2 linked regions of the Caenorhabditis elegans genome follow. The protein of the gene in region 2 interacts with the protein of the main gene of each other region in a biochemical or structural test. Each region holds a gene or a part of one and is shown on either strand. Other genes may lie near its edges.

Region 1 (4,015 bases), on a different chromosome or scaffold from region 2:
TATCCTCTACAAAAACACCCTCGATTGCGCAAAGAAGATCATCCAAAACGAAGGAATGTCCGCTATGTTCAAGGGAGCCCTCTCCAACGTCTTCCGTGGAACCGGAGGAGCCCTCGTCTTGGCCATCTACGACGAAATCCAGAAGTTCCTTTAAATTTGATAACACTTTGATAATTTTTACCTTGTCATTGTCCAACAAAATCTCGTTATGTAGCTTGTTTTAGCAAAGTAGTTCACCTAGCTACTATGTTAAGTTTTCAAAAATAAAGCGAGCCACATAAAAAGTTTTAAATCCTCTATTAAAGTTTTCCCCTTTTCAAATTCTCATTCTTTCCCTCAACACCCCGATTGAACATTCGTTAGGATAGCCCCTTTATCTGGACTCGGTTTGACAATCTCGGTTATTGCACCTGTGTTTGCCGTTGATCTTTAAAATTACTCGAACAACAATAAAACGTTGTTGATTTTCCCTTCGTTCAATTATGTGCCACAGAAAGATTTCAAACCGTAGCCGTTTATTAACGATGAGATTTTGTTTCGCAAGCAATGAGGTTCATTTGGGGTCAGTGGGGGAAGTGAATGCCAGGGAAAGCGAGAAAACAATGTGAGTAGGAAAGTGCAATAGTGAATAGTTAGACGTCAGAAGTGTCTGCGAAGTACGCATGGCGTAGAGCTGCATCGGCATCGATTCTTCCTGCTGGATTGCAAACAAGAAGTTTCTGCAAATACTTCGAGTTTGAGTAAGTATAATTTTTATTGGAAAAAAGTTACCTGTAAAAGATCACGGCCACGTGAATTCAAATTAGGTACGATTTGGCTCCATGTAAGCGTTGGATGGTAGATTGGGTAGGGCTGAAAAATGGTATGTTATACTTGTGTGTTCCTATAATGCAATGGAATTCAATTAATTATTGTCAATCTTAAATCTAGAACAGTTGTCTCTGCTTCTCTAAATCTACTCAATACTCTGTTCTCTGTCCTGTCCCAGCCGCCCGTGATTGTATGAATTACGTCACCCGAACAAACAGCTGAGCTCAAAGTACTCAATATCATTTCTTCTTTCTATCTTTTTCTTTTTTAGTTTTTCACCAATTGACACGGGCGGATAGTAGTCGGGAGGACAGGACAGCGGCAAAATCGTGGCAGGTAAAATGGAAAAGATAAGAAGACGGAATTAGAGAACTAAGAGAATTTGATAAGAATATGTAGAGGTGAAAATACAAAAAATTCAAAGAACTACGACATGTAATACCTTATAATCTGGAAGTTGTGTAATTGATGGCCAATTATCTTCGGATGGGCTGCCCAATTGCTTAAAAATTCGTTTCAATTGATCGTCAACATCAGCACCGGGGAATAATGGACGACCGGCATTTGAGATCTCTGAAAAAGTAAAAATTAGGAAAATTTATTGGCAAATTTAATTTTTAAAAAAAACCTGCAAAAATACACCCGGCAGACCACATATCAATTGAAGTATTGTACAATTTCGCTCCAAAAAGCACGTCCGGCGGTCTATACCATAACGTGACAACTTCTGCACTAAAACATCGAACTGGGACGCCAAACGCCCTGGCTAATCCAAAATCAGCTAGTTTCAGTGTCCCATTTGTATTAATCAGCAGGTTTTGCGGCTTGAGATCTCGATGAAGTACATGGTGAGCGTGGCAAAAGGATAAACCACGGAGAAGTTGAAGCATTAAGGATCGTGCAGTTTGTGCATCCATATACCCATTCAGCGAGTCGAAAAATTTTTTCAAATCCTGATCGCAATACTCAAAAACCAGTGTCAACTTGTTTTCTGAGTGAACAACGTCGTAGAGCCTTACTACATTTCGGTGTTTCAGCTCGCGGAGAATACAAATTTCACGGAGAGCAGAGCTTGGAACACCCTGAATTTGAATTTTAGTTTATTTTTTTGAATGCTTTTTGAGTACCTCATCATCATCGTCCAACCTTACTCTTTTCAACGCAACGATTTCTCCTGAATTTTTGTTTCTGGCTTTGAAAACGGTTCCGTAGGTTCCTGAAAGTCAACAATTTGGCTGGAAAAATGGGCAGGGAATAGCTTACCTTCTCCAATTTTTTCCATTTTATCATAGTTAAGCATTTTTGAGGTGGGAAAACTGATTAAATTTCTTCTCTTGTAAACCTTGTAAAAATTAAATGAAAAATCGAATTCTTAGCTTCACAAAATCAATATGCGTCAAGGAGTGGTTGCTGGCGTACTTTGCGATGTTTGTTTGTGTCTCTCAAATCTCTATGCTCTCTTGTTTGCGCATTTCTCGTGTTTTAATTCGGCATTCTCGTGGGAGAATAAGATCTTATAAATATAAGATGTTTTGTTCTGTTATAAAGTTTATGAATTTTTTAAAAATATGTTCAATTTCAGAATGTTCGCATCTGACGTGAAGCATGATAAAATTGCGAAAATCCCCCTCTACACAGATGACGATTTGGACTTTATAAAAGTCGATATTCTCGATGAAATGTATAAAAAAAGCTACTCAATATTCAACGAACTGCGATCGAAATGTCAGCTCTGCGATGTGGCCTTGTTGGTTGAAAATCGAAAGCTATCAGCACACAAAGTAATTTTAAAGCAATTTAATGCGACTTTTTCTAACCGAAATCAAGCTTTCAGGTAATACTCGCAGCCACAATTCCATATTTTCGCGGTATGTTCACATTGGATTTGATGGAAGCCAACATGAAAGAGATAAATATTGAAGGTAAAACTCTGAAAGTTATTTTTACTAAAAAAAAATAAACCAGATTCAGATATGAACTACGAAACTGTGGATGCTCTTCTGTCATTTGCGTATACCGGAGAATTGAGAATAACCACAAGTAAGTATTTTTTTGTTTGAAGAAATCTTTATTTAGATTTTCGTTTCCAGGCAACGTTCAATCAATAATGTTAGGAGCAAACTTTTTCCAAATGCTGGAAGTTGTGCAACATTGTGGAAACTTTCTCCTGACTCGTCTTCATCCGTCAAATGCACTTTCAATTCGAGAATTTTGTAAAATGATGTGCGTCGAGGAGAAGATTACAGAAATGACTGATGACTATATACAGGTAAAAACGATCACAGTTTTGTCAAGAAGATTTCCAGGTCTCGACACGATCGATTTTTGTACGATATAAACGCATGTGCGCCTTTAAAGAGAATTTTTGATTTTCAAGATCTTTAATAAATCGAAAAACAAATAATTTCGATTTTTCGGATTTTTTATAATGAAAAAATACAAAATTTTCAAATTTTTCGGTAGTTTTCAGAGAAAACCAAAAATCAAAAAAGTTCAATTCTTTGCAATTTGCAAAGAATCGAGAAATCGAAAATTTTAGATTTTCCGAAAAATCGAAAAAAAAAACAGAAAAATTCAAAAAAAATCAAAAATCGAAAACATGAATGTTCGAATTTTTCGGTAATTATCAGAATTTTTATTTTTGATTTTTCTAATTTTCTAAAATGGAAAAATGAAATATTTCGATTTTTCACTATTTTCAAACAAAAAAAAAACGAAGAACGATTTTGGAAAATCCAAAAGCGTGTGCGCCTTTAAAGATTACTGTAGTGTTCAAATATAAATTAATTTTTAAAAGTCAAAAATTTACATATTTATATAATCAGTTTTAAATTTCAGAAACATTTCATGGCAGTATCCAAAGATGAGGACTTCAAGAGACTATCACTAGAAGATGCAATTGAATTGTTAAGAAATGATCATTTATACGTGGATTCTGAAGAACAAGTGTATGTCGCTGCGATGGAATGGTTAAATTGTGATGTGATCAGACACGAACAGGCAGCGAAGTTAGATTTTCGATATTATTTTGAGAATAAAAACTCAATTTTGCTTCAAATATATTTTTTTTTGTTTGCAACGATATAGAATTGATAACTAAAAAGTTTCAGATTTTTTGGAAAAAAATTTTACATTTTTCGTAAAAAATCTTAAACTTGAGAAAAAACGACAAAAAATTTGATAGAAAATTGAATTTTATGTTTTT
Region 2 (4,892 bases):
TCTAATGCTTATTGTTTAAAAGTGGTGTAGCGCCAGTGGAAATTTTGCCAAAACATGTAGAAAGGTCTAAAAGAAAAAAGGTCTATCGAAATAAAACAACAGCCAAAAATGTTCAGGTTTTTTCAAAAATTTGTGTCAAAGTTTTGGCATATTCCAAATATTCGAAAACAGTTGTTATTTTTGGGAAAGTTGGAGGTTTCTTGCACATTCTATGCGCATACTATGTGACTCCATAAATTGAGTTTTTCACATTTGGCTTTAGGAACTTTGATCATAGATTTCAGTGAAAAACTTTTTTTTTTCAAGAATTAATTCTCAAAATTCCGAAACCGAACGACATACCGTTTTAATATTTTTATTCTGTGATCGTCGTGTTATCTCTTTTTCCATTTCACTCATTTGTTTTCGAATGAGTGAATCCGTTCGATCACCGGATAATTTCCGCTTTTCTTCACTTTTCTCCTCTCCTCCCGCTGATTCTTGCGAATTTTCAGGAGAATCTGATTTTTCGATGACGTCACCAATTGTCACATCGGATGACGTGGAAGTTGGTACAAGAAGCTCATCTGAAACATATTTAGGTTTGAAAATTGACAATTAGAAAAATGTTCAGGGGAAATCCCTTCAACTTTTCGTGTGGTCTCTAAGTTCCGTCCAGACATGATGGTGGGAGACGTACAACTCCTTTCGGACATGGAACAATTAGTAAATCGGCTGAGCAAAAAGAGAGAGTGTGAGATGATAAGAGACGCAGAGATATCTCTCTTGTCTCTTCTTCTCACCAAAATGTTCTCGTGTTACATGCTCACTTGTGACAAATGAGATACATGCTGGATCTTTTTTGAAGATTTTCTGAAGAACTTTTGGAAAATGCAATTTATTCGAAATTTTTAAAGTTGGAGTTTTACATTCCACTAGACGAAGAAGGAAACTTAATACGTTCTGTGAAAACTGTACGCCAAACGTTTGAGATAATGACTGATCTTCTGGCATTTGGCCTGAATTTCTAAAAGTGAAAAACCAACTAACCATTATTTTGAACAACGCCGCTTGTTTCCGTAGAATCTTCTGCTGGTCTCACCTAAAAATTAAAGACTGAGTTTGATTTCTAAACTAGAAGTATATTTTAATGAACATTTTTTAAAATTTTATCTTTTAAATTCCCGAACCACATTTATTTATTTTAGAGCTACAGGAAGAACATGAAGAAGCTCCCCAAGTCATCACTTCGCCTAATTTCCAGCGTTTTGCTTGTGAGTTCAAGTGTTTGGGCTCTGCCGTAAACGAACCTCTCGATGATTTGGTGACACATTAGAGGACACAACACTGCCAGCTGTCTGCCTTCCGTTATCGTCTTCTGAGCGATGAGATGATGATGCCTGAGAATACTTGAAGGTTATGAAGTGCAGATGAGAATTTTGGGAGCCATAAATGCATTGCTTTTGGTAATATATTTCTAGATCTATTTCAATGTCTAGAAATATCAAATACTGTTCTGCATCAATGCAGAAGCATAACTTTGTAATAAGAATTTGTGAACTTCTTGTGAGCTTGACTAGGTTACATCAAAATTAGAATTTCTAGCCGGCAGAGAGTGACGGAGGCGCCTCTCACACGCCTCGAGCGGGTGTCAGCCATGCATCATCAAACATCCAATAAGCATGTAATGTCTTAGGTTATTATATTGTGGCAAATTCGCCAAATCAGAAAATTATATGGTTTTTCCAGTTCACATGTTTTTATTGTGAATAAAACAATTTCGAGAGCTCTAAAAATAGTTCTTTCTGCAAAAATAAATTTCGCAACTTTTCTAGTTGTACAACAATGTTCCAAAATTGCGAAACATACATTTTCTGATGACTAATGTCATTTCCTTCATTTTTTTAAAGCTTATCAACCCCAGTTTTAAAAACTGCTTCTAATGAAAAATTGACAGTGTTTCAATTGTTTTTGTAAAATAACGCTTTATAAAACAAACCTGAGAAGAAGGTCTTGGCTGTTGAAGAGCCGGCTGAAATTGCATGGGAAACGGAATCGGAAACTGTGCTCCACTCGCGGCCATCATTTGTTGAAAATAATGATGCATGACTTCCTGATATTGAGCTGGAGAGAATACCATCTGAGGTTGAGCTTCACCCTCCTGAGCAGGAGCACCCGCTGTTGGAATATACGGATTCAAGAAGGGATTTGCGAAAAAATGACCAGGAGGGATCATTTCTGTAAAAAATCGAATATATTGAAGAACAAGCTTTTCCTATTTTAATTGTGTTAAGTAAGCAAATATAAATAACCAATGTCATACATTTTCATTCTGTGCACAGAAGTTTCCTAGTGCAATATATTTAAAATATTTTCTTATACTTCCGTGTAAAATAGATTTTTGTAGGGAAGGCAACATGAAAGACGTCCAGCCATATGAATAATAGCCTATTTTTGTGGTCAGGCGGCGGCGGGGAAAAATAAGAAGAAGAGGAGAAGACAGGGAATTTTTAATCGAGAAGGTTCGAAAAACAATAATATCCCCTCTATTTTTTCTTATTCTTCGAGTGAAAATATTTGAGGAAAGGTTGACCAAAACGAAGGAGCAATTCCTTACGAAAAGTTAATATAGTCTTACTAGGGCTGGCAAATCAGACTGAACCTATCTGGATTTCAGAGCCTTTTTTCTGTGTTATTGTGTTTTTTTCATATTTTTTTTAACTGATTTGATTTTGTCTTGCTTTTTCAAATATCTAAACATCAGATTTTTGAAGATCCGGGAATATTTAAACACACCATCTAAATTTGAAAAATGACACTCAAAAAACTTGAAGTCTGGTATATTTGTTTACACTTTAATTCAAAATCTCTTGTAAAACTAACGAAATGGGACTTGTTGTTGCTCTCCTCCCCCACCACCACCGGCTCCACCCCCTTTGCTCGGCGGAGGAGTAGGCGTGGCCGATGATGTGGGGACCCCGTGTTCAGGAGACGTCGTGGCGGCTGTGGCTTGTGCTACTGCTTCAGATGACATCCTGCAACAGAATTGTTCATGGTCCGATGGAAAATAGATAGGAAGATGAGGGAAAGAGAGAGGAAGCGGGAAAAGGACATGGATTATTGGATGCTCTTCTCTCGTCTCACACGCGAATTAATTAGAGCGATGAAGAAGAGGGACAAGAGAGAAGCAGACAGAGAGAGAGTTAACGTGGGAAAATTTAGAATTAACAATTGTCACCTCGAAGTTATAAGTTAAATTTTTTCCTAAAATGAGAAAATGGGAGATGCTCAAAAAGTTTTAAGATCGTGTTCGGAAGTACTGTAACACAACATGGAGTTCGAATCTACACAGACTTACAATTATGTAGTAAAAAATCTACATATCTACATATCTACATATCTAAAAATCTACATATTTTCACTCGGGAATCGCTCGCCCACTATGGGGGAGTCTACGCAAGGACAACGCAAGGACAAGGACAACATTCTAATGGAATGGAAACAATTGCCCGACTGCACCAATTCTAGTACAAGCGAACAATGATAACTTTTGTATTCTGTATTCCTTCACGTCTCCCAGCGAGCGTAATAAATTATTATTATTATTATATCTAAATAAAATACTTTCAAATGAAAATGTTGGTAAATTGCCAATTAAAAAAATTGGAGTTTTTCATTAATTTAGAGCAATGCTGCAAATGCGAAGACCTAGGTTCTAGGTTCACTTGTAAATAATTGAAGCGAACTTAAAATTAAACAATGTATTGGACCAATTATGATAGGTGGAAACTGATTAATTGCTATTAATGTAAATATAACATTTTCAAAAAATGTTGGAAAGTGTTAGAATGATATTTTCATCATGGGTGCACTATAGGTGTAGTTTTTAACATTTTTCCCACTGGAGCATAAGAAAAAAGAACAACAAGCGGAGACTGATCGTGAAACAAAATATACATTGAGGAAACCAAAAAATGCAGTGTAAGGAGTTCCCGAAGCAATATGTCGTGCCATGTATGCACGTCTTCTGAATGCCAATTCATTTGTCATGTTTCTTCGACACTCTAATCCCTACTTTCTCAGCCAAATATATGACACGTGTCGTTTTCTTTTTTTGCTGTTTCTTTTATGCCGTGCTTGCTAATCTCCAAAATATCGAGTGCTTTTTGGACTTTTGAGGGCGTTTGAAAAATATGTTTAACCAAACAATTGTATTAATGTAAGCCGCTAACTAAATGACTTTCAATTGACAATTTTCCAATTGTCGCTTTAGATGTTGAAAACGAATTTTTTCCAGATGTTGAAAATAAAGATAACTTCTTGTATTTTAGGACAAGTTCTAAAAATGTGAAAATATAACTGCATTGTGATAGAATTCCGCAAAGTATTTCTAATTTTTGACCTAAGCCATGGGAATCGTGAATGATCAACTAAATTCTTGGAAATAAATGAAAACATTAGAACAGTAAAAAGTTGAAGCTTTAAAACCTATTCGAGACGTTTCTCATTCGAGCAGCGCGGGGTTGAGAAAAATAGGGAAGAGGCGAGAGAAAAAGTGTCATAATTATGCTAATTCTGCTCTTTTCCATCGTTTTCCTTCACTCTCTCTTTCCATCCAACTCTTTTCCAGGGCACAGACAAAAAAGTATCAAAAACGGAAAGAATACACCAGATGACGGGATGAATGGGAATTTGTGATGGACGAATGGACAATACAAAACTGGTAGATGAACGAGAGAGTATATAAAGATGGAAAAAAGTGTGAATAATTTCACGTTTACTGTTATTGCGGAATAGATGGCAAAAAAGTAAACTTTTCAATTTTGAGATTAGAGTTCAAGCCGAAAATTCCGTTCAAAGTTAGTTCAAAGTTAAAAAATGTTGAGAAGTTTGGCACTACTCTACGTTTAACT

Evidence for each region.
Region 1: of the proteins of lin-10 (region 2) and cdk-5, one has a biochemical effect on the other in vitro, tested with the Caenorhabditis elegans proteins (one study listed by BioGRID).

Annotation. Positions count from the first base shown.
Region 1 is NC_003281.10:13,464,186-13,468,200, forward strand, and holds cdk-5 (Cyclin-dependent-like kinase 5), read right to left. Parts: upstream 2,158-4,015; 5' UTR 2,111-2,157; coding exon 2,074-2,110; intron 2,027-2,073; coding exon 1,938-2,026; intron 1,893-1,937; coding exon 1,439-1,892; intron 1,384-1,438; coding exon 1,253-1,383; intron 853-1,252; coding exon 772-852; intron 741-771; exon of another isoform or gene 720-740; coding exon 633-719; 3' UTR 502-632; downstream 1-501. Other genes in the region: ant-1.1 (ADP/ATP translocase), read left to right, coding at 1-154; kel-3 (BTB domain-containing protein), read left to right, coding at 2,394-2,591, 2,645-2,732, 2,776-2,850, 2,901-3,079, 3,649-3,818. UniProt on the Caenorhabditis elegans protein: Proline-directed serine/threonine-protein kinase which, in several motor neurons, promotes the polarized trafficking of synaptic vesicles and dense-core vesicles (DCV).
Region 2 is NC_003279.8:8,116,301-8,121,192, forward strand, and holds the start of lin-10 (Protein lin-10), read right to left. Parts: upstream 3,015-4,892; 5' UTR 3,014-3,014; coding exon 2,863-3,013; intron 2,218-2,862; coding exon 1,979-2,217; intron 1,380-1,978; coding exon 1,290-1,379; intron 1,082-1,289; coding exon 1,030-1,081; intron 567-1,029; coding exon 343-566; intron 1-342. UniProt on the Caenorhabditis elegans protein: Required specifically for the determination of 3 vulval precursor cell fates P5.p, P6.p and P7.p during late second and early third larval stages; required for basolateral localization of receptor tyrosine kinase let-23.